4 linked regions of the Arabidopsis thaliana genome follow. The protein of the gene in region 1 interacts with the protein of each later gene in a pairwise test. Each region holds a gene or a part of one and is shown in the gene's direction. Other genes may lie near its edges. The genes, in order: AtVEX1, MHX, ABCC5 and UMAMIT8.

Evidence for each region.
Region 2: the proteins of AtVEX1 (region 1) and MHX interact in a protein complementation assay, tested with the Arabidopsis thaliana proteins (one large-scale study listed by BioGRID).
Region 3: the proteins of AtVEX1 (region 1) and ABCC5 interact in a protein complementation assay, tested with the Arabidopsis thaliana proteins (one large-scale study listed by BioGRID).
Region 4: the proteins of AtVEX1 (region 1) and UMAMIT8 interact in a protein complementation assay, tested with the Arabidopsis thaliana proteins (one large-scale study listed by BioGRID).

Annotation. Positions count from the first base shown.
Region 1 is NC_003076.8:25,228,137-25,234,165, reverse strand, and holds AtVEX1 (Nodulin MtN3 family protein), read left to right. Parts: upstream 1-2,321; 5' UTR 2,322-2,638; coding exon 2,639-2,681; intron 2,682-2,774; coding exon 2,775-2,811; intron 2,812-2,881; coding exon 2,882-3,098; intron 3,099-3,320; coding exon 3,321-3,482; intron 3,483-3,498; exon of another isoform or gene 3,499-3,598; intron 3,599-3,612; coding exon 3,613-3,732; coding exon of another isoform or gene 3,733-3,795; exon of another isoform or gene 3,796-3,818; coding exon 3,819-3,962; 3' UTR 3,963-4,228; downstream 4,229-6,029. Other genes in the region: AT5G62865 (uncharacterized protein), read right to left, coding at 1-102; AT5G62860 (F-box associated ubiquitination effector family protein), read right to left, coding at 625-1,125, 1,379-1,534; AT5G62840 (Phosphoglycerate mutase family protein), read left to right, coding at 4,494-4,723, 5,022-5,267, 5,373-5,454, 5,535-5,870. UniProt on the Arabidopsis thaliana protein: Mediates both low-affinity uptake and efflux of sugar across the plasma membrane. May play roles in nurturing the male gametophyte.
Region 2 is NC_003071.7:19,522,384-19,530,014, reverse strand, and holds MHX (magnesium/proton exchanger), read left to right. Parts: upstream 1-2,434; 5' UTR 2,435-2,703; intron 2,704-3,119; 5' UTR 3,120-3,186; coding exon 3,187-3,577; intron 3,578-3,663; coding exon 3,664-3,839; intron 3,840-3,930; coding exon 3,931-4,049; intron 4,050-4,140; coding exon 4,141-4,313; intron 4,314-4,461; coding exon 4,462-4,577; intron 4,578-4,695; coding exon 4,696-4,912; intron 4,913-4,999; coding exon 5,000-5,129; intron 5,130-5,199; coding exon 5,200-5,497; 3' UTR 5,498-5,898; downstream 5,899-7,631. Other genes in the region: AT2G47610 (Ribosomal protein L7Ae/L30e/S12e/Gadd45 family protein), read right to left, coding at 159-161; PHR2 (photolyase/blue-light receptor 2), read right to left, coding at 6,283-6,364, 6,460-6,525, 6,620-6,861, 7,174-7,631.
Region 3 is NC_003070.9:1,064,172-1,073,988, reverse strand, and holds ABCC5 (multidrug resistance-associated protein 5), read left to right. Parts: upstream 1-2,908; 5' UTR 2,909-3,301; intron 3,302-3,494; 5' UTR 3,495-3,592; coding exon 3,593-5,632; intron 5,633-5,741; coding exon 5,742-6,062; intron 6,063-6,139; coding exon 6,140-6,226; intron 6,227-6,438; coding exon 6,439-7,137; intron 7,138-7,217; coding exon 7,218-7,382; intron 7,383-7,463; coding exon 7,464-7,758; intron 7,759-7,839; coding exon 7,840-8,054; intron 8,055-8,133; coding exon 8,134-8,439; intron 8,440-8,545; coding exon 8,546-8,609; intron 8,610-8,694; coding exon 8,695-8,934; intron 8,935-9,028; coding exon 9,029-9,141; 3' UTR 9,142-9,725; downstream 9,726-9,817. Other genes in the region: TPR2 (Tetratricopeptide repeat (TPR)-like superfamily protein), read right to left, coding at 1-49, 128-340, 420-524. UniProt on the Arabidopsis thaliana protein: Pump for glutathione S-conjugates. Involved in regulation of K(+) and Na(+) cell content.
Region 4 is NC_003075.7:9,356,273-9,362,833, reverse strand, and holds UMAMIT8 (nodulin MtN21 /EamA-like transporter family protein), read left to right. Parts: upstream 1-2,594; 5' UTR 2,595-2,962; coding exon 2,963-3,153; intron 3,154-3,254; coding exon 3,255-3,320; intron 3,321-3,362; exon of another isoform or gene 3,363-3,462; coding exon 3,463-3,579; intron 3,580-3,674; coding exon 3,675-3,909; intron 3,910-4,012; coding exon 4,013-4,177; coding exon of another isoform or gene 4,178-4,222; exon of another isoform or gene 4,223-4,245; coding exon 4,246-4,397; intron 4,398-4,495; coding exon 4,496-4,649; 3' UTR 4,650-4,928; downstream 4,929-6,561. Other genes in the region: AT4G16630 (DEA(D/H)-box RNA helicase family protein), read left to right, coding at 11-130, 254-549, 643-658.

The DNA of each region.
Region 1 (6,029 bases):
GGCGGTGGAGCTTCTTGATCGGCGGAAGCTGGGGAAACAACAGCAACGTTGATCGTACCGGGTATCAGGATCTCGGGTTGGGTCCGACTGCGAAAGTTCCATGGGCCGAAACTCAGAGAAGTTTTTTCTTGGGTCAAAAGACTCGTGATGATAATATAACTTGATTCAAGTTTTAGCTGTAAAGGATTATGATTGGTCCTATTTATTATATGCACACTTGACACTTGTAATATAAATTAAGAAATTGTTATTTTTTCTATGTTATTATATGCACACTTGACACTTTTACGAATCATGGCTGTAAATATTAAAACCTTAGAAACTCAATTATCGATCAACACGATTGAGAATCATAAAAAGTGTTAAACAATTTCTTAGGCTGGTGAAAACGAGTCTTAGAAAAAATAAATATCTTGAGCTAGAATCCGTTATAAGATAGTTACTTTCCTAACAATGTTTTTAGGAATACACTTGATAAAACAAAATTGATATTTATTATAAAAACTACTATTCACTAAGGGAACGAGTTGAACAAATGTGATCCGGCGGGTACAACAAACTAACATTTCGGATCATAGTACGAGGGGTACAAAGATTGAGCAGATGTCACTGTCTTTGGCATTATCACAATCTCACCATTAGGACTGACACCAGCGATGCAATACCTAATTTCTCAAATATCATCATCTTAGACCATTCTTGTTGCTCAATATGATCTTCCATAATCCACATCTCTGCACTAGCTTTGGTGTAACGTATGCATCCTAATTTTCCTTGGTAGTTTACCAAAGTCAATTCATCGAAACTCACTTCACTGAGCTGCTGATTCATCTGCAGAGTTATGGGCATCTGAATACGATCAAAGCTTTCGTGTCTAACGTCGAACCTCACTAGCTCATAGAATTCGGGATCATCCCAGCTTTCTACATGTGCTATGTAATAGATAAACTCTTTGATACATAAACCACTACTCCTAGCTTCTGGAGAGTGATTCCAAATGCCTTGGATGTCAAGGCTCCTCCATTGCTGCTTCATTGGACCTCCCACTAATGTGAAAACTTGTTTCTCAACTGGATCATATCCGAACAATCCATCACACGAGTTGCTCCATCTATCGTGTTTTACCTCCGGTAATAAAATCGTTTTCCTATTGGTATGTTTATAGATCGAGCTTGACCAACAACAGAAGAGTCCTCGAAAATTATTGATACTTAAAATCCCAACTTCGCCCATGGTTTAATGTATAATTACTGTCTTTGTCTGGGTATATGAATGATATATCATTAGTAGGATAAGTAGAGGGCGAGAATAATGACCGAGTCATGATCAAGAGGGTGATACGAGATGACCACAGCTTCGATACACATTGGAACCTCACAAGTGACTTAACAGGGAGTCTCGAGAGTATATCGGTTATTACATCGAAAGGGATATGTATACCGTTTGAATTTTCTCTCTCGGAGATTTCGTTCTGACGTTGTTGTCGTCGTTTTGGAGATCGTGAGGTCTTCTTCTCTTGGCGTCCTCTCTTCATGGTGTCAGTTTTCTATTTCATTAAACTTGAACGAAGAAAAACACATATATATTTTTGGTTTTTGACATTTTTTGGGGGTTTATGACATTTGTTTTTTTGGATATTTTCTATATATTGGCAATACAAAAGAGTTTATAAGCTAAGCAGCCCAGTTTCATGTCCCATTAGGTTTTAGATCTCAAGTCTTAACCGACCTACATTTAAAGGGAAAACATTAAGAAACAATGAGAGATTAATTTAGTATTTTCGATTGATGCGCCTCACACTGAAACCTGAGGCTTGTGTGTTCTGTTTCTCTTCATCTTGATTCAATTCGTTTGCAGTTTCGTAGCTTGATGAGAAAGGAATATTAAGTGATTCATATATAGCAAAGTGTTTACATAGTAAACCTAAAAAGAGAGTAAAACTAAAATCTCTTCTCTTTATTCATCAATACAAGTTGCTATTAACAAAGTTTTTGGTTACAGCACATATTCACTTGCTTTGTATTATTGTATATACTATACAAGATGCTCTACACAACATTTACTATGACATGAATATGAGACAACAAACTCTTTATACATAATGAAGATGTAGTAATAGTAAATGTAATTATGTTTGAGAAAGAGAAAGAGAGAGAGAGAGAGAGACAGAGGTATTAATGTGAGTGAAGAGCCGGGTGTTTCTCATGCATGGGGTACGAGCGGAGTCAACGGCTTCATGGCTCAAATTTGAAACCACGTGTCATGCGTTTGTTACTCTACCCAGATTCTGCTGATTCACAGACTCACTATTAAAATCCACTTTTTCTTTTTTCTCTGTTCATAAAGCAGAAACCAAAAATAATCCAAATATCAAAAAACCAAAAACAGAACCTAGAAACCACACCAAAAAAAAAAAAGCTATTTCATCAAACAAACAAAACTCACATCACAAATCAGAAACAAACAAAAAAGAAACGCAGTACTAAAGAAAAAAATTATAAACAAGAATCATCGAAAAGAAGAATCGAAATCATCAACATATTTTGTTTCTCTTCTTCTTTTATTTTTATAAAATATAAATTAGTTCTTTGATAAAATCTGTAGAAGATAAAGAATTCTTCTTTAGAAACAAAGAAAAATGACGGACCCCCACACCGCCCGGACGATCGTCGGAATCGTTGGTAAGTCCTCCACAATTTACTCAAACATAAAGTTTAATTCAATCAACAACAAAAACATTTGCTCATGTCTTTGTTTGTCTGTTATATGTTTAGGAAACGTGATTTCTTTCGGCTTGTTCTGCGCTCCAATGTAAGCACACATGATGATTAAATCTTTTTTTGTTTTGTTGCATGCAATGACATATGTGAAAATTGTGCAGACCAACGATGGTGAAGATATGGAAGATGAAATCGGTCTCCGAGTTTAAGCCAGATCCATACGTAGCTACGGTTTTAAACTGCATGATGTGGACATTTTACGGACTTCCTTTCGTCCAGCCCGACAGTCTCCTCGTCATCACCATTAATGGAACTGGTCTTTTCATGGAACTCGTTTACGTCACCATCTTCTTTGTCTTCGCTACCTCCCCTGTCCGCGTAAGCCTTTAAAACCTCTAATTTCAACACGAATGATAAAAATATGTATATGCATTCTAAATTATTCAATTTATATAAACTTTTCAGACATAGGTTTGATAGCCTTTAAACCAATTGAAAATTAGTGAATTAGTGGTTGATGTTTGTTTTAGTTTGTTACTTCAAATGTAGATCGATATAGATTTTGATATGTGAAGTTATGATATATATATATGTGTACAGAGAAAGATCACAATAGCTATGGTTATCGAGGTAATATTCATGGCGGTGGTGATCTTCTGCACAATGTATTTTTTGCATACAACAAAGCAGAGATCAATGCTTATTGGGATCTTGTGCATTGTTTTCAACGTCATCATGTATGCTGCTCCTCTCACCGTCATGGTATGATGCCTCTTCTTTCTAAACTAATCACGGAAATGCAAAAATTGGATACTACACTATCAACTTTTTTCTTTTGTTCTCTTTATCTCGTGAATTTCCATTTAATGAGTTTAGTTATAATGTGGAACAGAAACTTGTGATAAAGACAAAGAGCGTGAAATACATGCCGTTCTTCCTATCATTAGCCAACTTCATGAACGGTGTCGTTTGGGTCATTTATGCATGTCTTAAATTTGACCCTTATATTTTGGTAAACCCTCATATATATCTTTATTGTTTGGAACTCAAATCCCTACATCTCAAAAAGGACTAATTATCTTCCATGCATGAAAACAGATTCCAAATGGTCTTGGATCGCTATCAGGAATAATCCAGCTTATAATATACATAACTTACTATAAAACAACTAACTGGAACGATGACGATGAAGATAAAGAAAAGCGCTATTCGAATGCTGGAATCGAACTTGGCCAGGCTTGATAGTTTCAGCTATTTCATCGTCTACGGTGCTTCATCGATAGGTTAAGATAGAATCAGAAGTGAGGTGAAGTTCTTATTACTATTATTTTGTGTAAGCCTATGTAGAAAAAAAATGAACAAGTGGAACCCTTAAGTTATGAAGTTTCTTGTGTATGAAGAAATGGGTTTTCAGTTTTTTTTTTTGGAAATGATTGTAACTTTCGCAAGTTGAATCTATGTACGTTGTTACAATTTTAGTTTTAATCGAAGTTTATTAGATTACTTTTATAACATTTTCTTTTTTGGAAACTGTAAGGAAAGAAACAAATTTGTCCTCTTAAGAGCAGAGTAATAAACAGAGTTTCTCTCTTGTTTTAGGTTTTTTTTTTGGTCCTGACCGGTTAAGAATATTTCCGAGAAAGTTACCGGTTTAGCTGATTCGATTTTAAAAACGAACCCATAATCTAAACCGGAATGTGCGATTCACAATTGTGGTTTTGTAACCTTAAAACACGGAGGACCAGAGATACCGTTTGAGATGACGATTGAATTATGTTATCATCATCACCGGCGGTCACCACCGCCTCACACTTACATCCTCCTCCGTCGCCGGAAACCTACCAAATTCCTCTGAATTTACTTTCCTCGCCGCATATTACCCGCCGAGACCTTTTCAAAACTCTCTCCGTATGTATTGCCACACCATCACTCTCCGTCTCCATCGCCGCACCAGCTAACGCACGCGGTCTCTTTCAAATGCCGCCTCTCCGGCTCTCTAATCGGTAATTTACTTTTTCAAAACCCTAGTTTTGAGTTTCTGTGCATACAACCAGATGTGCATCAATGTATACGTATCTTCGTCCTTTTGATTGGAACTAAGTTTAAAGGATCTTGTAAAGCTTTAGTAGATTAGTGAGATTCCAAATTCTTCACATTGAACTGTTAAGAGTGAATCTCTGACTTTTAACATTTTGATTCTTGTTCTTGATTCGTTTCCGGAGTTATTTAGCCTGGTTATCTTAGAAAATGGAGCTAATAATACACAATGTGTTTTTGGTTGTTGTTTTTTCTTGGATCAAGTTATTACCTTGTGAGAGCTGGGGAATCAGATTACGAAAGCTTAGGGATAATCAACACAAACCCGGTTGCCAAAACATCGGTAGATAGCGGATTATCAGAGAAAGGTAAGAAGCAGACTCTGAGAGCTGCGTTACAGTTAAAAGCAATGGGAGCTTGTGACCGAAACTGTTGGCTCTGGCCTTCCATAACACAGAGAGCTTATCAGGCTGCTGAAATCATCGCCGCCATCAATGGAATTAGTCGCAGGTAAAATCGTCCATTAGTCTTCTTACTCTTTAGTGAGGTTTTAGCTGTGGAATCTAATCTTTGTGATGGTACGCTGAATGTTTTATGTTCACTTGGTTTTCGCAGCTATATAGTTCCGGAGTATAGCTTCCTTGATGCTCGTGGTTTAGGAGCTTACGAAGGCAAGAAGCTTGAATCTATATCAGAAGTAAGATTTTAGCATTTTTCACATTAAAACATACAAACAAAAACTCGGGTTGAAGTATGAAAGTTTCAACTTCTGTGCAGGTGTATGCATTAGACTCAATATCGATGAAGACAAAACCTCCTCCTATAAGCGACGGTACCCCCAACGAGAGTGTATCAGATGTATTTGTGCGTGTGACGCAACTCATGTCTATTCTCGAGACTCAATACTCAGAAGACACAATCGTGATTGTTTCGCCTGATTCAGACAACTTATCGGTGTTACAAGCTGGTATCCAAGGACTCGACCTTCGAAGGCACTCGGAGTTGTATTTTGGACCAGGAGAAGTAAGATTGTTGGATGCAAACAGCATTCCAGTGTATAAGCAACCTGCTTCTGCCGTATATAAGTGTAAGAAACCACCAAACTGTGACTAAAAACATTTTATCCTCAGTATCTATGTATTGTTATTATTCAAATACAATTTTGAAGCTTAGTTTTAGATTTCAATGCAAGTGTTAGTACATATAATCATAATGATAATAGGCCGTATATTTCTAATTGCTTTCTTAAATGTTTTTTTCAAGAAACTCATA
Region 2 (7,631 bases), on another chromosome or scaffold:
GAAATCGAAACCCATGTGTGTTCATCTTCAAGCGAGAATGCATCCAGGAAACACTAACTCTATCGTGAAGGATCTAATTCGATGATTCTACTATGAAAGCAAACAACTAACAGATCCCAAATGAAACGAAATGAAGATGGAAGGAAGAGAGATGATACCATTGTCGTCGTCCAAAGCTCCAACTCCAAATGGTTTCTGCGAAAGGACGGCTGAGTCGAAGAGTATCGTTTTCTAGGGTTTTGCCTTTTATATATATACCATGTACATTGATAGGGCTTCTCTATTTTCTCTAATTAAAATAATAATTAAAAATTGCCAGCAAACCGTAATTACAAATATACCCTTATTAATCTTTCAATGTGTTACGGTCTTTTTAAACCGGTGGTTAACATGGCGGAAAAAATGAGAAAAAACCGGTTTAACATTTTCCACCAGTGATGAACTTTCTCAAAAGAGTTTATTATATACGAACCTAGCTACTAGCCAAAGTCTTACTTTTCTCAAAACCAAACGTTAATGAAACTACCATTTGATGTATACATATGGGTAGAAAACAAGCCACCGACACCTTTGTCACTCATTGGGTGAGCTCTTCCTAAAGAAGATGGTCTTTTCCAAATTCCAATTCAGCAGCATGTGTAGTAGTAGTTTCGTGGATCTGTATGTATTCTCGACCGCGGTTACAACTAACGATTTATAACTAAGGCGTTTTAGTTTTACGAATAGTATTTCGACCTCGTGTTATCGTTCCCATATGGGAGATTTATATCTTTCTCTATGAGATGTTTGTGAGACTGTATGATTTTGTACATTTGAGTTTTTGGAATTGTTTTCGTCAATTTAACAAAAATAATTGGTGACAACAAAAAAACTATCAGTCTTAGTAATATGTGACGTATTTCTTATCAAATTTAGATTGACCATGTAAAGAGTTTAGCAATTAAATCCAATTACATTGCTTGTGTACTTATTCATGTTGTAATAAATTGTAGATTTACAACTATGACAATCCTATATAACAGAACAAAAACAAATACGTATTTGAACTTTCTAGTTTACACTTTACACGAATTACACGTGATAAATAACAGGTAGATTTATGTCAATGTCATACATAGCCTAAATCAACTAAAAAGTAAACAATATAGTTCAAATGTATATATATACTAGATAAGGTCCGCCTATTTAGGCGGGTGTACCCGAAATTTTCAAATACTCGAACGGATATAAACTTTAAAACCCGAAAAACTCAAACCCAAACCCGAATAGGTATGCAAACATATCTCAAATATAAGTATATATTAGTTATATTTATACTTATATATAGAAAATATTAGAATTTTTTTGGATATTTTAGTTATTTTTGTGTATTTTTAGATATATTCAAGCAAAACTACTCATGTTGTTTTGGGAATTTTTGAAAATTTCAAGTAATTTAATAGATTTGCACACAAAATTTGATATTTCAATATATAAATAACTCGAACCCGAACCCGAACCCAAACCGAACCCGACCCGATAATATTTTTTTGTTTAAAAATACATACAACCAAAATCTTATTTCTACCCAATTTCTTTAAGTAATAATTATATTAATAAAACCTACAGTCTAATTTCTACAGCAATAAAACTTACAGCTACAGTCATCACACCTACAACAAAAATTCTACAGCAGTAAATCTACAGTTACAGACAAACCAATCACCCACGTAATCTCGTAAGTTAATTTTACATCATGCAAATTAATATTAAATGAGTTAAAATTAATAAATGAAAATAATTGAAAAGTTAAATCCTATAAGCTAAGCTATTTTTCTCAAAGTGTTCTATTTTCACTTATGATTACATGAGTTAAAGACAAATTTGTTAATTTTGCTTTTGTTGAATAAATGTTAATTGTTTATAAATATATAGACATATAAATTAGTATATGTAAATTTGTTTACTTTTTAAGATTTTCTATTTTTTTAAAGAATAAAAAAGTTAAATTTTGAATGACACATGTAAACATCTAATCGTTTGACTTGACACTGTGCCAAGTCAATTTTGAAAACCATACTTTATATAATAAGATATATATATATATATATATTTTTTGTCCTCATAGTTCAATTGTATATATCTCAATAATTTTTTTAATCAGAAAAAAACAAAATACATATATATCCACTAATTCTGATTTGATAATGCGTTCACACTTCATATTTATCATGTTTATCTTTTATAAAGAAAATAAATTAGTCAGGTCAGGTTTTTAGTAAGATATATGTTTATGATAATATCTAAACTCGAGGAGATGATAAAACTAATATTACTCAGGTTGAAATTAAAATCTAATGCTTATAAGGATGAAATGAAACAAAATTCAGGGAGTAAAAAGATATAAAAAAAACTTGCAATTGAGGTCTCATATTCTTAAACCTTACCAAAGAAAGGCGAGATTAATTAATCCTAGTTAGTCAAGTAAATCATCCAATTAGATAAGATCACGTGTCGGTCGATGTACGCTTGAATCCTCGTTTCGATACAATAATTGAAGTGTGTCATGCAGAGATTAGAGAGATGTGTATAAATGGCTCCCAAGTCTCCACCGCAATATCCAACGCTTGACCGATTCCAATCAGCTCCTCTCGATTTCCGTTTGTCGGAAAATCTCTCCCGTGATCGGCGTATTGTGAATGCCGCTCACCGAGATATTCTCCGGTACGTCCGCATTGATCAATTTCGTCGCGTGGCTCACTCTGTTTCATCTGTTCTTTTCTTATTTTTTAGCTATTTTTGTTGAGATTTGTTCGTTGAAAATTATGGTTTTGTGAAAAGAACCCAACTTGTTTTACTGAACCCATGATGAAAGTTATAATCTTTTGATCTGGTTACCTCTGGATTTTGATTACGCATACAGTGGAACATGCAATTGTTATTAGCATTGGTTATAGATTGGATTTCGGTTACATGCCATTGGATCCTTTGCAATGTTTAGTTTGTGTTACAGATTCTCTGGAAAGAAATCTTTTTGCATGTTCCGTTTGTTTCGCATCCTCTTGATACTGTTCGATCGATCAGGCTACAGGTTTCATCAGTTTCTTCTAAAAGTTGTAAGCTTCTTTTTGGTGTGCCAGATTCTTTTCCCCAGTGAGGACAAGTGTTCAGTTGACTTATTAGGAGGTGGGGTTTGAATAAGTTACAATGGCCTCAATTCTTAATCAAACCCAGGAGTTGCAAGAATCTTCTAAGGTTCTTGGGCATTTAAGATGTGAAAACTTCTTTCTATTCCCCGGAGAAAACACTTTGTCAGATGGTTTGAGGGGTGTGTTATATTTTCTCGGTCTTGCCTACTGCTTTATTGGGTTGTCAGCCATCACTGCACGGTTCTTCAAGTCTATGGAGAATGTCGTGAAACATTCCCGTAAAGTGGTTACAATTGATCCCATTACTAAAGCTGAAGTCATCACATACAAGAAAGTTTGGAACTTTACTATTGCAGACATCAGTTTGTTGGCGTTTGGAACTAGCTTCCCTCAGATTTCTTTGGCTACCATCGATGCAATACGGAATATGGGGGAGCGGTATGCTGGAGGTCTGGTGGTTGTTCCTTTCTTCCTTCCAAAACTCTAGTTTTTACTTTTAAGTTCATGAATTCTTATATCATGTTTTGTCATATAGGTCTTGGTCCTGGAACACTTGTTGGCTCAGCTGCATTTGATCTTTTCCCCATCCACGCTGTTTGTGTCGTTGTGCCAAAAGCTGGAGAACTGAAAAAGATATCCGACTTAGGTGTTTGGCTAGTTGAGCTCGTATGGTCTTTTTGGGCTTACATCTGGCTATACATAATCCTCGAGGTAACTGTGAAAAGCGGTTTAAACAGATTCTGTTGAGTCTATACTCTATACTGATAAGGTCTAAAAATCTGTTTCTTTTCACGTCTCACAGGTGTGGTCACCAAACGTAATTACACTTGTGGAGGCATTATTGACAGTACTGCAATACGGATTGCTTCTAGTTCATGCGTACGCCCAAGACAAGCGATGGCCTTACTTGTCTTTACCAATGTGGGTTTCTTTTCCAGACAATAATATTAGTTCCTTCAAAATGGATTTCTACTAAAGATTGTATCTTTGTGTTTGTATTTGATACTTGCAGGTCAAGAGGTGATAGGCCAGAGGAGTGGGTTCCAGAGGAGATTGATACATCCAAAGATGACAATGACAATGATGTTCATGATGTGTATTCGGATGCTGCTCAAGATGCTGTTGAATCGGGAAGCAGAAACATTGTTGATATCTTCTCTATTCATTCAGCTAACAATGATACAGGTACTAAGTATGATTAGGCTGTCTATTCTATTGATATAAGATCAGTTTTAGCGTATTTGCTTATTTCCAAATCTATGTGATTCCCATATTTATCTCTGGTAGTATATTGTTATAAATCAAACTTTCCCTGTAACAAACACTTTTGCAGGGATCACTTATCATACTGTGGCAGATACTCCACCCGATTCTGCGACTAAGAAGGGTAAGGCGAAGAATTCTACTGTTTTTGACATTTGGAAACATCAATTCGTGGATGCAATAACGGTAAAAATCTTCAACTTACCAAGTGTTTTCTAGATTCTTCTATATCCTATTTTGGGCTTTTGATCATTATCAACACATCTTTCTTAACTTGTTTCTCTTCCTATTCGTAATCAAACAGTTGGAAACATCAGAATCAAAGAAAGTGGATAGCATTTATCTTCGAATCGCGAAATCTTTCTGGCATTTACTCCTCGCCCCTTGGAAACTGCTTTTTGCATTTGTGCCCCCCTGCAACATTGCTCACGGTTGGATCGCTTTCATCTGCTCTCTCCTCTTCATCAGTGGAGTAGCCTTTGTTGTCACAAGATTTACTGACCTTATAAGCTGTGTCACTGGTACACACCCTCACCGCTTTCAAAAACTGAAGTTATAAGATTAAACATTTGAGCTCTAAAACATTAGAAACTCTTTTCATCTTGCAGGAATAAACCCATATGTGATAGCATTCACAGCACTCGCAAGTGGAACTTCATGGCCAGACTTAGTAGCAAGTAAAATCGCTGCAGAGCGACAACTAACCGCAGATTCAGCTATTGCAAACATCACCTGCAGGTAAAAATCTCAAAACCCTTTACAAACATTGAAGATCTTTTCATGATCTTTTTGGTGATAAATTATGCAGTAACTCGGTGAACATCTATGTGGGGATTGGAGTTCCGTGGCTGATAAACACAGTCTACAACTACTTTGCATACAGAGAGCCTTTATACATAGAAAACGCTAAAGGATTAAGCTTTTCGCTTCTGATATTCTTTGCGACATCAGTGGGATGTATCGTGGTGCTTGTGTTGAGAAGGTTGATTATAGGAGCTGAGCTTGGAGGTCCAAGGCTATGGGCTTGGCTTACTTCTGCCTATTTCATGATGCTTTGGGTCGTCTTCGTTGTTCTTTCTTCTTTGAAAGTTTCAGGCGTCATATAGAAGAAGCAACAAAAGGAAAAACCCCATGAGTAGAAGAAAAAGTCTTAGCTTACTTGCACATGTCTCAGTTTTTGTTTTTCTTACTTGTTAAGGGGGTTTTATATAATTATCAAAGTTCAAAGGCAGTTGGCTAAATATGTGTTGCAAATATAAATCATATTGACTATGATTTTGGAGGCTTCATCTCTAGTTAGGAGGTGCATATATGGAGTACATTTTCATTATCCTGCAGTTTTTTTTGTTTTTTTATTTGCAGTGTTACCAATTTGTGGTACATATATGCAAACTTTCTCTAAAGTCAAGCAAATAATCTTAGTCGATTAATATAAACTTTTATATGTAACTTTCATCCAAGTAACTAGTGTTTAGTACGGTTCTTTAATAAGTGTTGTAGAATTTCTAATGCCCATTTACCACGAAGTGCATATTCTAGTTGCTGCTTGCTTCTGATATTAGTGACATCTTAATATTCCTGAATTTAATATTCATAGACACAACTACTTCGGTTATTTTCTAAGATACATTCTCAAGTCTTAACCACAAAGGAGAGCGTCTCAAATTGTAGAGACTTTTTATGGAATGAGTATCCGAAATGTTTAGAACAGGGAACGGACAACTTGATTGAGCCAAAAAAAGAAGCTTAGATTTTATTCTCCTGACACTCAAGTTTCAAAAGAGAGCAGTAAAGTCCTGTCCGGATAGCAAATTAATCCACCATACACCAGAGTAGGGCAAAGAAACAGGTCGCTTCTAACTTTTCCGGTCACCTGAAAGTTTTCAAATGTTTAAGCAAAGGCACCGGTACAGGCTGTAGCCGGACCAGCCTCGACCTGCGTCTTCGCTGAGCTGTATTTCTTGGTTATAAACCTGTTCCAAGTTTAAACACACATCAAAGAGAGAATCAGACAAAATACAAATTCTACATTTCTACTAGGGGGCAAGTTAAGAAAGTAAGAGCTCACCTGAAGAAATCCCTCCATAGCAACTCATACATTAACCAGTTGAGTCCTGTATCTCCCGGTCCGTTCCTGAGAAAATCATTTCAAAGAATGATAATTAGACACATACACTTACTATGTTCACCAGAGTTTCCTGAAGTGTTTTGCGTTTCTGAGACATTACCTTGGAGTTGTGGAGGTGGTTGATGCGGAGATTGTTTTCTTCAGCTCATCGAACATGGAACGAGGAGAGATGCTTCCCATGGCTAACCAAGGTGATATCTTGCAAGAGAAGTTTGCACCAAAGACACTGTTGTTGCCTCCTTTCTGGTTTCCCTTGCTCAACCGAGCCTGACAATCCGCGGCAAAGCTCTTTAGTCTAGTCAACGCCTCTGTCTCTCCTCCAACCATTGTCGGTTTCCCCTCCTGAGCAGAACAAAATGTTAACTCCTAAGAGAAGGTGTAAGACAGTAAGAGCCGCAGACGAATATTGGACCTAAAGAGAAACGTTCATTGATCCTAAGAAGAATCCATGGACCTTCAAACAGCACTACTACTATTAACACTTGATAGTACTTATCCCTATCACTCTATGGGTAAGTAGCTCTTCTCCTATAGAAATGGAACCAATTGGCAGAGTTTGAATTATAAGTCCCACAAGTTTCCACCTTTTCTAAATGCCTAAACCTAGATGGATAAAGGAATCAATCAAGCTAAGCAAAGATGAAGAACTCAAACCTGGCTAGTCCTAGGAGTGGGGCTAATGCCAAGATCCAGGAGAGAAGGAATATCGCCAAGCTCAACGTCTCCTCGAGAGGGCAAGCTTTTCAATTGATCAAGCGCTGCGATAGTCTTCCTAATCTCCAATTTCTGGACTTTATCCTTGAAAGCTCCGTAATTTGACGGCAAGTCTTCAATTTTGAAGGGCAAATCATCCAAATGATAGAGAGTGCTTCCCCAGAAATACTTGACTTCAACGCCTTCCTCCTTCATCGCGGTCTCTATCTTCCCTTCCGCTTTAACCTCGTCGTGAGACACTTCTCTGTGAGCATAAACCGCGTCAGCTCCAATCTCCTTAGCCAATTCCACCAAAACAGCTTCAGGTTTCCCGACACGGACAACTAGATTCGACCCTCTGGCTTGGAGATTCTTCCGGAGCTCCGAAACGGACTCAATCAGAAACTGGGCACGAAAAG
Region 3 (9,817 bases), on another chromosome or scaffold:
CGTTCAGCAAATCCAATGACATGGATGCCTTAGCAGCTCGATACACCGCCTTTTGAAGCATTGAAACCCATCAGAGAAACCAACCAAAACGGTACAACGAAATCAAAGAGAAAGTTTAGCTTACTACCTTAACGTTATGAGGAGATAACCTCATTGATTCCTCAGCATCGGTGAGGGCACGCCGATAGTTGCCTAAGAGTAGATTAACATGGGATCGATTCGAGAACAAAATAGAGGTCTCTGAATCACTTAGAACTCCCTGACTAATGGCTTTCGTGTAACAATCAATCGCCTCAGAGTAATGCTTTTTCCCTTTCCTTACACATTCATTGCCCTCTTCCTGTGTTTAAACAGCAAAGGAATGAAATCGATACTACATCAAACATCAAAATCGAACGAGCCAGAGAAGAGAGAGGTACTTTGAATTCGATGGCGGTGGATTCTTTGAGAGCAGAAATAGCTTCAAGATCAGCCTTTTCCTTCTCCGTGGTCGGCGTCGCTCCAGCGTCCATCCATAGCGCCATTGATTCGCAGCAGAAAGATAGAAAGCAAATAGTGAAATATTCGATTAACCTAGACGACGACAGAAGCAGGAGAAGAAGAAGAAGAAGAAGCTTCGAGTTCTTTGGAGGGAGAGGGACAGATACCGGTTATTTCCTCTCGTTAACCGAATACCGGTTTAATACTATTGTCCCGGTTTGATCTCAATAGCTATCATGAGCCTCGATTGTGTGTATATGAGAGAGTATTATGGGCCCAAATTTAACACACATGAGATTTTTTTTTTTAAAGTGAAATTTCTGAGTCGAATAATAAATTCCAGTGACAGTGAGACTGAGACACCGGAGTCTAAAGGAAAGGTGAGAGCGGGGGACAATGTAAGAAAAAGGTCGGTGAGAAATAAAACGACAAGTGATAGAACTTTTCTTAGTACCATAGTTGAATTTAAGGTGGTGGGCCATTCAATGGGCCTAACTTGGCCCGTACAATCTGTAACATCATTTAGTATTGAATTCACATTCACCAATCACCAATCACCTTACCAAAATAGTGCGATAGGAATTAAATTGTGTTTGGCTTGGTATTTGTTAAATCATCAATAGACAATAATAGTTTGATAAGACTTACAACAACTGAATATTTATAACTCGCAATTAGCCCTGTTAACATTCCAGGCAGTGCCTGCGTTTAAGCAACAATACAGAGGCTTCTTTTAGGTCATATGTCAACACCTAAAACAAATAGATAACATGTGAGAGAAATGTGTTAGGTATATTACACTATGATTAGTTCTTTTGTTAAAGGACCACGCACCACTATCATTATCCACGTTACACACGGTTTGAACTTAAAGAAGATCGCATGTTCCACTATCTTTTTTGTTGTTGTTTGTCCTCCTCAATTGAACAATTTGCATACGTAAGCGACATTTGGTTCATATACAGTGTTCATGAACTGAGCAACATATATACTGTTTTTTTTTCATCTAAGAAAAGCTACCTTTTTGAAATTTGTATTTATGCAAACGAAAGATAATGGAAAGTGAGCTGGCATGGACCGAAAGTGGTACAAAAAAAGTTTGAACAAAGCCATTACTATACCAAACAAACGCAAATGACAAAAACTACGCAGCATTAACAACTATATTACAATTGTCATTATTTATGTATAACATTATAATACACTATCAAGGCTTCTAGATTGTTACATCATCTCCTTAATTCTTCCAAGTTACATCATCATATATAGTTGAAATTAATTTCTATTATTCGTGAGAATATAAGTTGATTGGAAGAAGGAAGATTCAGTCTATATATATATTTGAAATACTATATGTGGAAGAACGTAGAATTCCCTATTGCGAACTAGAAATGTGTTGACGTACCGTGTATAACCAAATGTAATATATTAATCAAAGGACATATTAACGTACACATTTTTTACTGCATAGTCAGCAATAATTGACATTTAATCATACATGTATTAGAAAATGGTATGCCACGTAAGACGCATTACCTTGCATGAATGGCATGTGTAGTAAGTCGTCATCCGCATATTGTCCAAACAAACAAACAAATAAACACATACGGGCAAGAATTAAAAAAAAATCATCTTTTGTTGGTCTTATATAGTTGCTTATCTGAATAGTCTCACACTCTCTCACTTGAGAGCAAGAGTGCATGTAATTATACTATAGTATTAGTACATACGAACAATTTGGTGGTGAGTATAAGTTTGGATCTTTGGACTATATATAAAGTCATTAATTTCATACTCTTACGCTATTCTTTTATATCTTTTAATCAAGTTGACACATTTGTCTCATTGTTTTGGTGCAGAGATGATAGATTGGTTTTCTTTCTTTTATATATATGTATTGAAACGATAACGTGTATGTCTCCACTTTCTACAAATGAATTTTAAAAAGCTCAATGTGTATACATAGGAATTGATAAACCAGTGATTATATAGTATTTTGTAATATACTGACACCTATACAGTTTTATTTTAGTAATATTTGTAGCCTTGTAGACAATACATAATACTCATCACGTCACGTGTAGAATATTCCATGGACCGTATAAGGTTCCTCCTCCATTGTATCCCACAATTAATTAGACACAGCTTAGATTAGCAAAATGGTAATTTCTTTCGTTTGAGTTATGATTGGCGATTTCGTATAAAACGAATCGAGAGAATAAAAACGTAAAAGAATCGGAATATGATTCATTGCTTACCATGGTTAAGTTTAATGATAAGTGCTTTTATTGATAACATATATGGTCAAATAATACAATAATTTGATCATAAAGAGTAAAGACAATTGAAAAATGAAATCACCAAAAAAGTCAGATCACATACAGACACATTGACGCATCGACGTCAAGCATCGTGAGCGCACAAAGAGCTTACGGCTTTATTATTAACACACACACTAAGCAAAACAGTAAGTCCACGAGAAAGCATCCAAAAAGCCCAAAGGAACCACCTTTATTTTTTATTTTATTTTAGGCAAAGGAAGCTCCTTTATTAAATTCCCAATCTTCTTCCACTACTTTGCACAATCTTTAATCGATCCAACCAATAAATTTTGCATTTTTTTTCGTTGGCGAATGAAGGATTAGAGAGAAACAGAAGAAATTGTTAATTTTTTTCTTGTTGATTTTAATTAAAGAGAAGAGAGATCTCTCTTCTCGATTGCTCTCAAGAACCCAAGTGACGTCTGGTTTCAGCTGATTTGTTTCTTCTCATTCTCTATCTTCTTCTCTGGGAAATATCGATTTTGATCTATTAAGAGCTGGTGAGAGCCAAAGTTTCCTTTTTGTTTGTTTGTTTGTTTGTTTGTTGTTTGTATTTTTGTATCTCTGTGATCGCTTCTACGTGTTGGGTCATGCAGAGAAACTCATTTTGTTTTGATTTGCAATGTGTCAATTCCACTTTGAAATATAAGATTCATCGCCTCTCTCTCCTTTGTTTTTTTTCTTCTTCTGCAGCTACGAGCTTTGGGATGTGGTGAGATGCTTGTTCTATCTCGAACAATCCGCCGGTTGTTGATTTTAAACAAACTCTCTATCACAAATCTTTCCCGATCATGGATTTTATTGAGATCTCGTTGATCTTTCGAGAGCATTTGCCACTACTGGAACTATGTTCGGTCATCATCAACCTCCTACTCTTTCTTGTCTTTCTATTTGCTGTCTCCGCGAGGCAGATTCTCGTCTGCGTGAGAAGAGGCAGAGATAGGCTCTCTAAGGACGATACGGTTTCAGCTTCTAATCTTAGCTTGGAAAGAGAGGTTAACCATGTTAGTGTTGGGTTTGGGTTTAATCTGTCTTTGCTCTGTTGCTTATATGTGTTAGGCGTCCAAGTTTTGGTGTTAGTATATGATGGGGTTAAGGTTAGAAGAGAAGTCAGTGACTGGTTTGTTCTTTGCTTTCCAGCTTCTCAGAGTTTAGCTTGGTTTGTCCTTAGCTTCTTAGTTCTTCATTTGAAATACAAGTCTTCAGAGAAGCTACCCTTCTTGGTGAGGATATGGTGGTTCCTGGCGTTTTCGATTTGCCTCTGTACTATGTATGTCGATGGAAGAAGGCTAGCCATTGAAGGTTGGAGCAGATGTTCTTCTCATGTTGTCGCCAATTTAGCTGTTACACCTGCTCTTGGGTTTCTCTGCTTTCTGGCCTGGAGAGGCGTTTCTGGTATTCAAGTTACCAGAAGCTCCTCTGATCTTCAAGAGCCTTTGCTTGTTGAAGAAGAGGCAGCTTGTCTTAAAGTTACTCCATATAGTACTGCTGGGCTAGTTAGCCTTATTACGCTTTCATGGTTGGATCCACTTCTCTCGGCTGGTTCAAAAAGACCGCTTGAGCTTAAGGATATACCGCTTCTTGCACCAAGAGATAGAGCCAAATCAAGTTACAAGGTCTTGAAGTCGAATTGGAAGAGATGCAAGTCCGAGAATCCTTCAAAGCCTCCTTCTTTAGCTCGTGCAATTATGAAATCATTTTGGAAAGAAGCTGCTTGCAATGCCGTATTTGCTGGGTTGAATACTCTTGTGTCCTATGTCGGTCCTTACTTGATCAGCTACTTTGTTGATTATCTTGGAGGGAAGGAGATTTTCCCTCATGAAGGATACGTACTCGCTGGGATATTCTTTACGTCCAAGCTTATAGAGACAGTCACCACCCGCCAGTGGTATATGGGTGTTGATATCCTAGGGATGCATGTTAGATCAGCTCTTACAGCAATGGTATACCGAAAAGGTCTCAAACTTTCAAGTATAGCCAAGCAGAACCACACGAGCGGTGAAATTGTAAACTACATGGCAGTCGATGTCCAGCGCATAGGAGATTACTCATGGTATCTTCATGATATTTGGATGCTTCCGATGCAAATAGTTCTTGCTCTTGCAATCCTATATAAAAGCGTGGGCATAGCTGCTGTAGCTACATTGGTTGCTACAATAATCTCGATTCTTGTCACGATTCCACTCGCTAAGGTCCAGGAAGACTATCAAGATAAGTTGATGACTGCGAAAGATGAAAGAATGAGGAAAACCTCAGAGTGTCTTAGGAACATGAGAGTTCTGAAATTGCAGGCATGGGAAGATCGTTATAGAGTGAGATTGGAAGAAATGAGGGAAGAGGAGTATGGTTGGCTTCGCAAAGCCTTATATTCTCAGGCTTTTGTTACTTTTATCTTTTGGAGTTCCCCCATTTTTGTCGCCGCAGTTACATTCGCTACTTCGATATTTCTAGGCACTCAACTTACCGCTGGAGGTGTTCTTTCTGCTCTGGCGACATTCAGAATTCTTCAGGAGCCACTTCGGAACTTTCCTGATCTGGTTTCAATGATGGCTCAGACAAAGGTTTCTCTTGATAGGATTTCTGGGTTCTTGCAGGAGGAAGAACTTCAAGAAGATGCAACTGTTGTTATTCCACGGGGACTTTCGAATATAGCCATAGAGATTAAAGATGGTGTGTTTTGTTGGGACCCTTTTTCTTCAAGGCCGACATTATCTGGGATTCAGATGAAAGTGGAGAAGGGTATGCGTGTGGCTGTCTGTGGCACAGTTGGCTCTGGAAAATCAAGTTTTATCTCTTGCATCCTAGGGGAAATCCCAAAAATCTCTGGCGAAGTAAGTTAATGTTTTGGGGTGTTTGTCTCAATTGCTTCACTATTTTTTCTTTTCTTTTCTTATATTCACTTAGCTATCATTGATCCAACTGCTGATAATTGTTATATAGGTTAGAATATGTGGTACTACTGGTTATGTGTCTCAATCGGCTTGGATTCAGTCTGGTAACATTGAAGAAAACATTCTATTTGGCAGTCCAATGGAGAAAACAAAGTACAAGAATGTGATACAAGCATGTTCCCTAAAGAAAGATATAGAGCTTTTCTCACATGGGGACCAAACTATTATCGGGGAGAGAGGTATAAATCTCAGCGGAGGTCAGAAACAGCGTGTACAACTTGCAAGGGCATTATATCAAGATGCTGACATTTATTTACTAGACGACCCTTTTAGTGCTCTTGATGCACACACTGGCTCTGATTTGTTTAGGGTAAGAAGCTATTCAAGTCATGTTTTCATATTTTGAGTTTGAACGTTTGCGTAACACGGTTATTAATGGCTATACAGGATTATATTCTATCTGCATTGGCTGAGAAAACTGTGGTTTTTGTAACGCATCAAGTTGAGTTTCTCCCTGCAGCTGATCTAATATTGGTAAGAAACTCTTTTTTCTCGGTTTTACTACACATTAATTCTGGCTACTGTTGGTCCTTTTAGAATTGCTAAAGGGTCTCTTTTAGGTGTTTAGCTTACCAGCCTGTGATGAACTTATCTCTATTGTTGCAGAAAGGTAAAATTGTTGAAGGAGTTTCCAAACTGTTTCCGTTATGATAAGCTCTGAAATATTTATTTGTGTTGTTTCAAAGGTTCTGAAGGAAGGCAGGATTATTCAATCGGGTAAATATGATGATCTGCTGCAAGCAGGTACTGATTTTAAGGCCTTAGTGTCTGCCCACCATGAAGCAATCGAGGCAATGGACATCCCAAGTCCCTCCTCAGAAGACTCTGATGAAAATCCTATTCGCGATAGTTTGGTCTTGCATAATCCAAAGTCTGATGTTTTTGAAAATGACATCGAGACTTTGGCAAAGGAAGTACAAGAGGGAGGATCTGCTTCAGATCTAAAGGCAATCAAAGAGAAGAAGAAGAAAGCTAAGCGTTCCCGCAAAAAGCAGCTTGTTCAAGAAGAGGAACGAGTAAAGGGAAAAGTCAGCATGAAGGTGTACTTGTCATACATGGGTGCTGCATATAAAGGGGCTCTGATTCCTCTTATTATACTCGCACAAGCTGCTTTCCAATTTCTTCAGATTGCTAGTAATTGGTGGATGGCTTGGGCAAATCCTCAAACTGAAGGTGACGAATCTAAAGTGGATCCTACTCTGCTTCTCATCGTTTATACGGCTTTAGCTTTCGGGAGCTCTGTGTTCATATTTGTTCGAGCTGCTCTGGTTGCAACTTTTGGTCTTGCAGCTGCACAGAAACTGTTCTTAAATATGCTCAGAAGTGTGTTCCGAGCGCCAATGTCATTCTTTGATTCCACTCCTGCAGGAAGAATTTTGAATCGGGTATGTAGATGTGGTATTATAACCAAATTCCACAGTTTCTGTGTTACTTTTCTGATTTTGGGGATTTTATTGATGTGCAGGTTTCTATTGATCAAAGTGTTGTAGATCTTGACATTCCTTTTAGACTCGGTGGGTTTGCTTCAACAACAATACAACTCTGTGGCATTGTCGCTGTAATGACCAATGTTACCTGGCAAGTTTTCCTTCTTGTTGTTCCGGTAGCTGTTGCTTGCTTTTGGATGCAGGTAAATCTATTTTCGATTTTTCCTCTGAATAACTGTGAAAGATTGTTTTCGTAATTTAGTTTATATTGAAATAAAATGCAGAAATATTACATGGCTTCTTCAAGAGAATTGGTTCGGATAGTTAGTATCCAGAAGTCTCCAATAATTCATCTTTTTGGAGAATCAATTGCTGGTGCTGCCACAATAAGAGGATTTGGCCAGGAAAAAAGATTTATCAAAAGGAATCTTTATCTTCTAGATTGTTTTGTTCGACCTTTCTTCTGCAGTATCGCTGCTATCGAATGGCTTTGTTTACGCATGGAATTACTTTCCACACTTGTATTTGCTTTCTGTATGGTTTTACTCGTCAGTTTTCCACATGGAACCATTGATCCAAGTAAGTATCTCTAGTTACTATAACAAAAAAAGCATCAACGAGCAGCCGGTTTTTCTAATATTGATGTTCCTGTTGTAATAGGCATGGCAGGTCTTGCTGTGACATATGGACTTAACTTGAATGGACGTCTATCACGATGGATACTTAGCTTTTGTAAGCTTGAAAACAAAATAATCTCAATCGAAAGGATTTATCAGTACAGTCAGATTGTAGGAGAGGCCCCAGCAATTATAGAAGATTTCCGCCCGCCTTCCTCGTGGCCTGCAACGGGAACAATTGAGCTAGTTGATGTTAAGGTACTATTCAAAAATACTATTTTTATTACCTCTCTGCACTTCCTTTCCCTGCTTTCTTATTGCTTCGTTCTTTTCGAAGGTTCGTTATGCTGAGAATCTTCCAACAGTACTCCATGGGGTGAGCTGTGTGTTTCCGGGTGGAAAAAAGATTGGGATTGTTGGGCGAACGGGAAGCGGAAAGTCGACTTTGATTCAAGCTTTGTTTCGATTGATTGAGCCAACTGCTGGAAAAATTACTATTGACAACATTGACATTTCTCAAATTGGTCTTCATGATCTTCGTAGTCGCCTTGGGATTATACCTCAAGATCCTACATTATTTGAAGGAACAATCCGAGCAAATCTTGACCCACTTGAAGAACATTCAGATGATAAAATCTGGGAGGTATCTATAAATATGTTGTTTGATACTCTTATCTTGTTTATGTTTTAGACACTAAACTCTGAGATTTGGAGTTTGATTCTAGAGATTTACCCAACTTTGCTGACAGGCGCTTGATAAATCCCAGCTTGGAGACGTTGTTAGAGGAAAAGACCTAAAACTTGACTCTCCAGGTAACTATTTACATCAAAAGTCCTCTCTTTTTCCCGGGTCTTTTTCGCTTCTTTCTACTGATTTTTTTGGCTCAAAACCGAGTAGTACTGGAAAATGGAGATAACTGGAGTGTAGGGCAGAGACAGCTTGTGTCACTTGGACGAGCATTACTGAAACAAGCCAAAATACTTGTTCTTGATGAAGCAACAGCATCGGTTGACACAGCAACAGACAATCTGATCCAGAAGATAATCAGAACAGAGTTTGAAGACTGCACGGTCTGCACCATTGCTCACCGGATACCAACTGTTATAGACAGTGACCTAGTTTTGGTTCTCAGCGACGGTTAGTCTCATACAAATTAAAAACATGGATCTTTCTTCATATTACTCGTCGTCTTTTGGGAGAATTCAATGTTTATGTTTATGGTTTGTTGCAGGTAGAGTAGCAGAGTTTGATACTCCTGCACGGCTATTAGAAGACAAATCATCGATGTTCTTGAAATTGGTAACAGAATACTCCTCAAGATCTACTGGAATCCCTGAATTATGATCCTCCATGTTAAAAATTCAGTTTAGGGGGTTTCTTTTCTCAAGAGGATATAAAAGAACTGATATGTGACAAAAGCTTAAGGTCTAAAGTAAGAGAGAGTTTTCCACAGGGTTTAAGAAAAGAAAAAGCATGAAAGGATGCCAAAATCTCCGCGCTTAAAAAACTTTGGGTTTAAATCTCTTCTGTCGAACATTGGGAGAAACTTTTTTTGTATGGAACAGTTAGTTTCTTTGGTTTTCATGTTTATCAATAAACTGCAAAAACAAACAAAGATTAGAGTAGAAACTACTAATCATTCGTCATCATCCCTCAAGTGTGATCTGTATTGGGCTTATTATAAGTGTAATCAGTACTGGGCTTATAAGTTGTACAGAGCCCAATATAACAATATCTGTACGACGTCGTTTTGTTGTGACGTAGTACCCGATGACAAAACGAGGCGTGTTGAGCGTGCGTGTATAAATGCACGTAGTGAACGAACACTAACCACGCTGCTGCATTTAATTCCTTTCTCAACGGTCGTATTTTCCTATTCAAGGCTTTAACTAAGTTTAATAGTATGTTTTTAAAAAAATACATATATTTGGCCAATGGTTGATTATTAAGTTATTGTTAAATGAATTTTCTTTGGCTTGGTAAAACTTCAATGGAAACCAAATAAATTTCAAAATCTTTT
Region 4 (6,561 bases), on another chromosome or scaffold:
GCAAGTACAGAAGAATCTTCCTAGGAAAAAACGTAGAAAGCTAGAAGCTGCCAGAGAGATGCTAGAAGATAACGAAGGAGAAGAAGAGGAAGAAGACGAAGAAGGAGACGAAAAGAGAGGAAGATCAAGAGTAAGTATTTCAGAGATACACATCACTCTCTCTCTCTCTCTCTCTCTCTCTCTCTCTCTCTCTCTCTCTCTCTCGCCGGGATGACAAACATTGTATTGATTTTAAATGTGTGTTTTTTTTCAGGGGAAAGACAAGAAAAAACAGGAGACAGATAAGAAGGGATTGACACTAAAGGATCTTGGTTACATGAGAGCAAAAGCGGTGAAAGCAAAACAGAGAGCAATTGATTCCGGTAAGATGGAGAGACCAAAGCCGGACAAGAAACAAAGCCGGAGTAAACCAAGAAACCAGCCTCGTGGTGAAGAGATGAAAGATCTGTTCAAGAGTGATATGGGCGAGAAGAAACAGGGCAGAGGCGGTGCCGCGGCTGCAGCAAAACCTCGGACGAAGTCGAAGAACTCATTCAAGAGCAAAGCCAGGTAAGAAACATTTCATCATAAACATGAAATTTACCAGTAACATAAATTGTAATTTGTTGGTTTAACTCGGTATTTTCTACTTTTATCGTGCAGATATAAGCGTAGGTAAAAGGAAAAAGCATTTTTGAGAAGATATCGAAGGACAATCCCACGAGAAGAAGGACATTTCATTGAGAAGGGTTTAAACAATTTAAATTATTGTTGTAATATCATAATTTAGAACAAAACTGGTTAAGATGTTCGAAATTTTGTTTTCTTTGTCCTATGGTTTTTATAATCTTTCATAAAGCTTTACCATGATTATTCGTAGTATGAAGAAGCAAAAAGTGGTTTAAAAAAAAATTAAAAAAAAAAAGAAGAGGTAAAAAGTCACGTGAGTTGGCGACGGTTGTAGTTGTAGACGCGTGGGCACGTGAGAAGACTATGTATGTTCACAGACTTCAGAACTTGAGACTGTAACCTTTTGTCTGTTCGTACGTGGCACAACTCATTAGTCATTAGAATGTTTTGAACCGGTTTAGGAGCTAATATGAGTTTCTGCATATTCAAGATGCCTTTTATTTCACACCAAGGGGTTTTGATACTAGTTAGGGTCTATAAAACTAAGTCTTAAGTGTTTTGAGCGTGAACTTTTCTTTTTTTTGGTCAGCGTGAAATGTTTCTAAGCTTTTAAACGCATTAAATTTTCATGATATGGATAACAGATGTTACAAAAGAAAAAAATGTATGTGGATAAAGATTAAACTCTTAACTTAATATATTTAGATAGATCGCATATTATATTTGTTGGGAAAAAAAGAGGGGGAGAAAAGAGAGACGATAACACGCTTCACAAGTCATTGGAAAAGAGACTGAGGATTGTTGACGTGTAAGCATCCCCACTTTTGCTCTTTTCTTTCTTACACTCCTCATTTTTTCTTATCTTACGCTTCACCTACCATATTTTACACTCCACACAACATCTCCAATATTATACATCTCCAATTAAAAATCTTTCATAGGCACATCATTTATTATAAAATAACTAATTCGTTATAGACTCTAGTCTAGTTTTCTAGTTAAAACTGATCCCTAGAAAATATTTTGATCATAAAACTATTTCGGTGTGAAAACGAATCACTAAACCATCCTTTGGTGTTTTGGGTTAAATAACTAAAACATTTCGGTATGAAAACAGATCACTAAACCATCTCATTAGCATTAACAAGGATATTAGAATAGGAAGCTTTTTTTACCAATAAAAATGATTATAGGTAGGTAGGCACATGGCATACACATATGATTTATCTGTGAGACTGTGACAAATACAAATATGAAGACATTCCATATTTGCATGCAAGAAAAAAAGAAGGAAGTAAAGAGTGAACAGATAGTCAGATACGTAAAACGAATAAAGGAGAAGATGGTAAGATGTCGTATTATATATCCAAAAATAAGAATACAAACAAAAGAAGAACACTGATAAATATTTTTGTTACTCCCCCGAGAAAAGGCCAAGGTCCCCGAATCTGACGGAGTTTATTGCATCTGTCTTTTTTTCCTTCTTCTCCTTTCTTTTTGGTTTATCTTTCTTTTTCATACTCTGCATGTTTTTAAACTTCACTGTAGTACAGAATTTCATCTTTAACATAAATTTGTGTGAGGGCGATTTATGATCGATCATTCCACCTTTTTTTAAATGACTTTACTGACAAAATAAACATATTATTCTTTAGTCTTAAATAAATAGAATCTTGTTTTATAATTTTGCTATTTTTATTACGTTATTTTACCAATCAAAACTATGGTTTTATATTCCAAATTTTATTAATATAGTGGCAACTTCCCAAATAAAAATCTTGACAATTTGAATAATCTTAAATTTTTGCCTAGCCGATTTGGCGAATTTTATTTATTTATTTATTTGTTCTATTTAAGAAATATCAGACTCACCGAAATATTTATTTCTTAACAAATTAAGCTAACCGCTCTCAAATTTTTGTTTTGTCTTATTTCATACATATTAAATCCATTGCACCAAAATTTGAGGACTCTATGTGTTATAAAAATAATCACCGTTTTAGACTAAAAATAAATTAAAATCTGCGCTTCCCCAAAAAGCTATAATGGCGAGACACTCCATAATAAAACCAATGCAATGTAATGGACACATGTCTTTAAAAGCAAGAAGTGAAAGATAGAGAAAGTTTCAACTTCAAGCATTACACATTACCAAAAAGAGAGATCACAAACAAAGCATCTTTTCTATTTTCATTTATCAACAACAACAAAACCAAAAACTTAATTAGTGTTTCTCTGCTTTTTTAGTTCCCCCACAAAATCGAATCCTTCTGTTCGGTTACCAAATGGGTTCCAACTGATTTGTCCGTTATTATTCTTTTTATTTTCTTCGTGTTTTTTTTGTGTTGAAAAAATGATGAAGAGAGAGACGTTAATAGAAGCAGGAATAATCGGAGGATTGGCCGGAGCTCAGGTGATTTACGCCGGAAACTCGGAGCTACTGAGTCAGTTGCTGTCTCTCGGAATTGACCCACTTCTTATCGTTATCTTATGCACCTTTGCATCAGTTCTTCTCATCACCCCTCTCGCTTTTCTCCTTGAAAGGTATCTTCTTCTTTCTTTTAATTTACAAAATCTCTGTTTCGAACTTTATTCTACATTCTTTTTCTAATAAAAATTTGGATTTTTGTGGTGTGTATTTGTAGGAAGCTTTGGCCTAGAAGTCTAAGTTTCAAGTTGAAGATAAAACTAGTTTTGGTTGCTCTTGCTGGGTAAAAACTCCTCTTTTTATTTATTTCTGCATGTTTTGATTAATAGATGCTTACCTTGCTTCTTCTATACGTTAAAGAGAAGGAGAAGAATTAAAAATTCATAACAAGGGATTAATTAAGAGAGAAGTTGTGTTTGAAACAGAGTGACTCTGTTCCAGGGGTTATTCTTGGAAGGAATGAAACACACCTCTGCTTCAATGGCTACAGCTATGCCTAATCTCTGCCCTGCTTTCATTTTTGTCATTGCTTGGGCTGCTGGGTAAATCTTTTACTTTTGTGTTAATCTAATCTGTTTAGTGTTTGAAGATTAGAGCTTTCATTAATGTGTTATTTGAATAAATTGTAATTGTTAAGGATGGAGAAAGTGAAGCTAAGTTGTATGTATAGTAGAGTTAAGATGGGAGGGACAGTGTTGTGTGTGATGGGAGCTCTCATTATGAGCTTAATGCACAGTACTACCGCTACTTTAAGCTCGGTTAAGACTATACCTATTGTCCCTGACGAAGTCGTTGTGGACAAGGACAAGATCTTAGGTTGCCTCTATCTCCTCCTTGCCATTTGCGGCTTGTCCTCTAGTATTGTCCTTCAGGTTTCACCTTATACCCCTTCTTAGCCCTAGAGCTATCATATATCCGGTTGTGCTAATTAATCTGATTCTTTGCTTGTGAAATCACTTTGATCGTCCTAATTAGGCATCCATACTAGCCGAGTTTCCGGCGCCTATATCAATGTTCTCGATGGTATCTTTGATGGGTGGGATCACCACAGTAGCTTTGCAGTATGCTCTTAAGGGAAGTATGGAAATGGGAAGTGCATCAGTAATCGGTCTCGGCCACCTTGTGGGATACGCAATACTGGTACGTCATAAATCATATATGGTTGGCAACATTTGGATGTGTTGAAAATGTTTTTGTTTTTTTTCTAGGGAGGGTTGGTGAGTGGAGGAGGGTTAAGCTTCAATGCATGGGTGATTAAGAGGAAAGGACCAGTGATTGTGTCTCTCTTTAGTCCAATTGCAACTGTGGTATGTGTTGTTGTCTCTGCTTTTACCATGGAAGAGAGTTTCAACCTAGGAAGGTACATTTTTGCAGCTTTTCGCATTCATTGTATGATCTTTTAGACAGAAAGAGAAGTCATTTATCTTCTTTCTTGTTTGTTTTTCTCTGTCAAATTAGCTTTGCGGGAATGGCGTTGATGTTCGGAGGACTCTACTTCGTTCTGTGGGCTAAAGGAAAAGAGGATTGTGAAGAAATAGATGAAATGAAACAAGATGATGAAGAAAGTTTGCTTAGAACAGAGTTTGATCTTCAGAAGCCTCTCTTGCTTTAGTTCAAAGTCTTTTTTTTTTCTTCTTCTTAATGTTCTTGTGAATTTAGTTTAGGTTTAAAGAAGTAAGACAATTTTACTTTACAGATAATTCGGTTAGATATACATGTAGTAGGCTGTAGACTACAGTATATGTTCGTGTGTGATACTAAAATAGTTGGATATAAAAAAAACATCACATACATACAGGGCGAAGAAAAAGGGCCTAAACGATGTTATGTAAAAAGTTGTTCAATGTGAAGGTATATTTATATATAAATAAAAATTACCGTTGAGTTAGAAGATGAAGATAAACCTACCTAATATGAGAATGCGAATGGAACTAAGCAAATACACGCCAAAGACTGTTTTCCTATTCCCAAAGAAAAGCTGAGCCAGAGTATAAGTCAGGTGTGGAGATGGAGTTAGATAATGACAAACAAGGTAGAAACAAAAAAACGCAAGTCAGGGTATTTATAGAATTGTCATTACATAGCAGATGACCAAGCAGGTTAGTGTCCGCTATATCGGAAAGCTTCAAGAGAACGGGAAGATCTTCGATTCCACCATTGGAAAAGCACCTTTTAATACTTATGTGATATGGCAATTAAGGGATGGAGTTATGTGATTGGTACGTGATACTTATGAAGTTGTTGTTACATGCAGGTCATGGTAAAGTCATTAAGGGATGGGATGTTGGCTTAAATGGTAACTTAGTTTCGTCCTCCTAAAGGTTTTCATCACTTTGTTTCAAATGGTGTATTGCTCTCAAGTTTTAAAAATTTCACAGGCATGTGTGTTGGGGACAAAAGAAGGATTACAATTCCTCCATCAATGTCGATATCTTCTTCTCTTTCTCCATGCGCTTGATGGATACCTTCAATATCTTCTCTACATAAAATCTTGGCGAACGACTATAATTGTACTTCGTTGTAGATATCATGCATACGTGCTTCCATTAATCTGCAAATTTGCTAATAAATCGCAGTAGCTGGAACTGGAACATTAGACTTCTGGATGTAAAAGCATTAATGAACTTTTGGTCAACCATTAGACCAAGAGGTTTCCACGATTTCTTTCTTATAGTCAATTAATATATTTATTTGGATGAAAAGTTAACTAATATTAAACACTGAACAGAGATTTTTTTGTTTGCATCTGAAGAGTTACGTAGTTACTGAAAATTGAGATTGAAGCAAAGCTAAGTAGTTAACACGATAGATTCCATTGTGTAAGCCTCTTCTTTACTCAACTATGTATTAAAGTTCCAACAACTCAAATTCAAATCCTTGCTGGTAATGTTAACATATGTATTCTTTGTCACCTTTTCAATAAAACCATGATTACCAAAGGTATATTATCAATTTAATGGATTCTTGACTACTGCTACGTCTGTGTGACTATGCAACATCTTTCATACACTTTATCAAAGAAATAACATTTTTAATACATGGTATTTTCCTCTGTTAAAAAAGTATTAGTTTTTTTTTATTAGTAGTCATATTTACTGTTTTGACATCCACATGTTTTGTATGAACCAAAACAAGAACTGTTACTATAGTTAATACGACAAATAATTATGTAACTTCTAATTGCTTAGAAAGTATAAACCAACTTGTTTTGGATAACCAAAACACATAAGTAAGTTTTTCGAATCGGAGAAGCTATCACATTTATTAGTATCATCTGTATTATTGGTAATTAAATCAGAATACTATACTATCATTGAACCAATGGTAATCATTTTATAGTTCTTATCATTAACCCATTACGTAGAAATTAAAGTAAAACTAAATAGAGATTTAAGTATGAATGTCAAGTTTGTTGAACTTGCAATCATAAACAAAATTCAGTCCCGGTTCGAAAATTCAAAACATTAAGACACTTATCACACTCGCAAACAATTACATTTTTTTAAAAACTTTTTTGTCTTTTT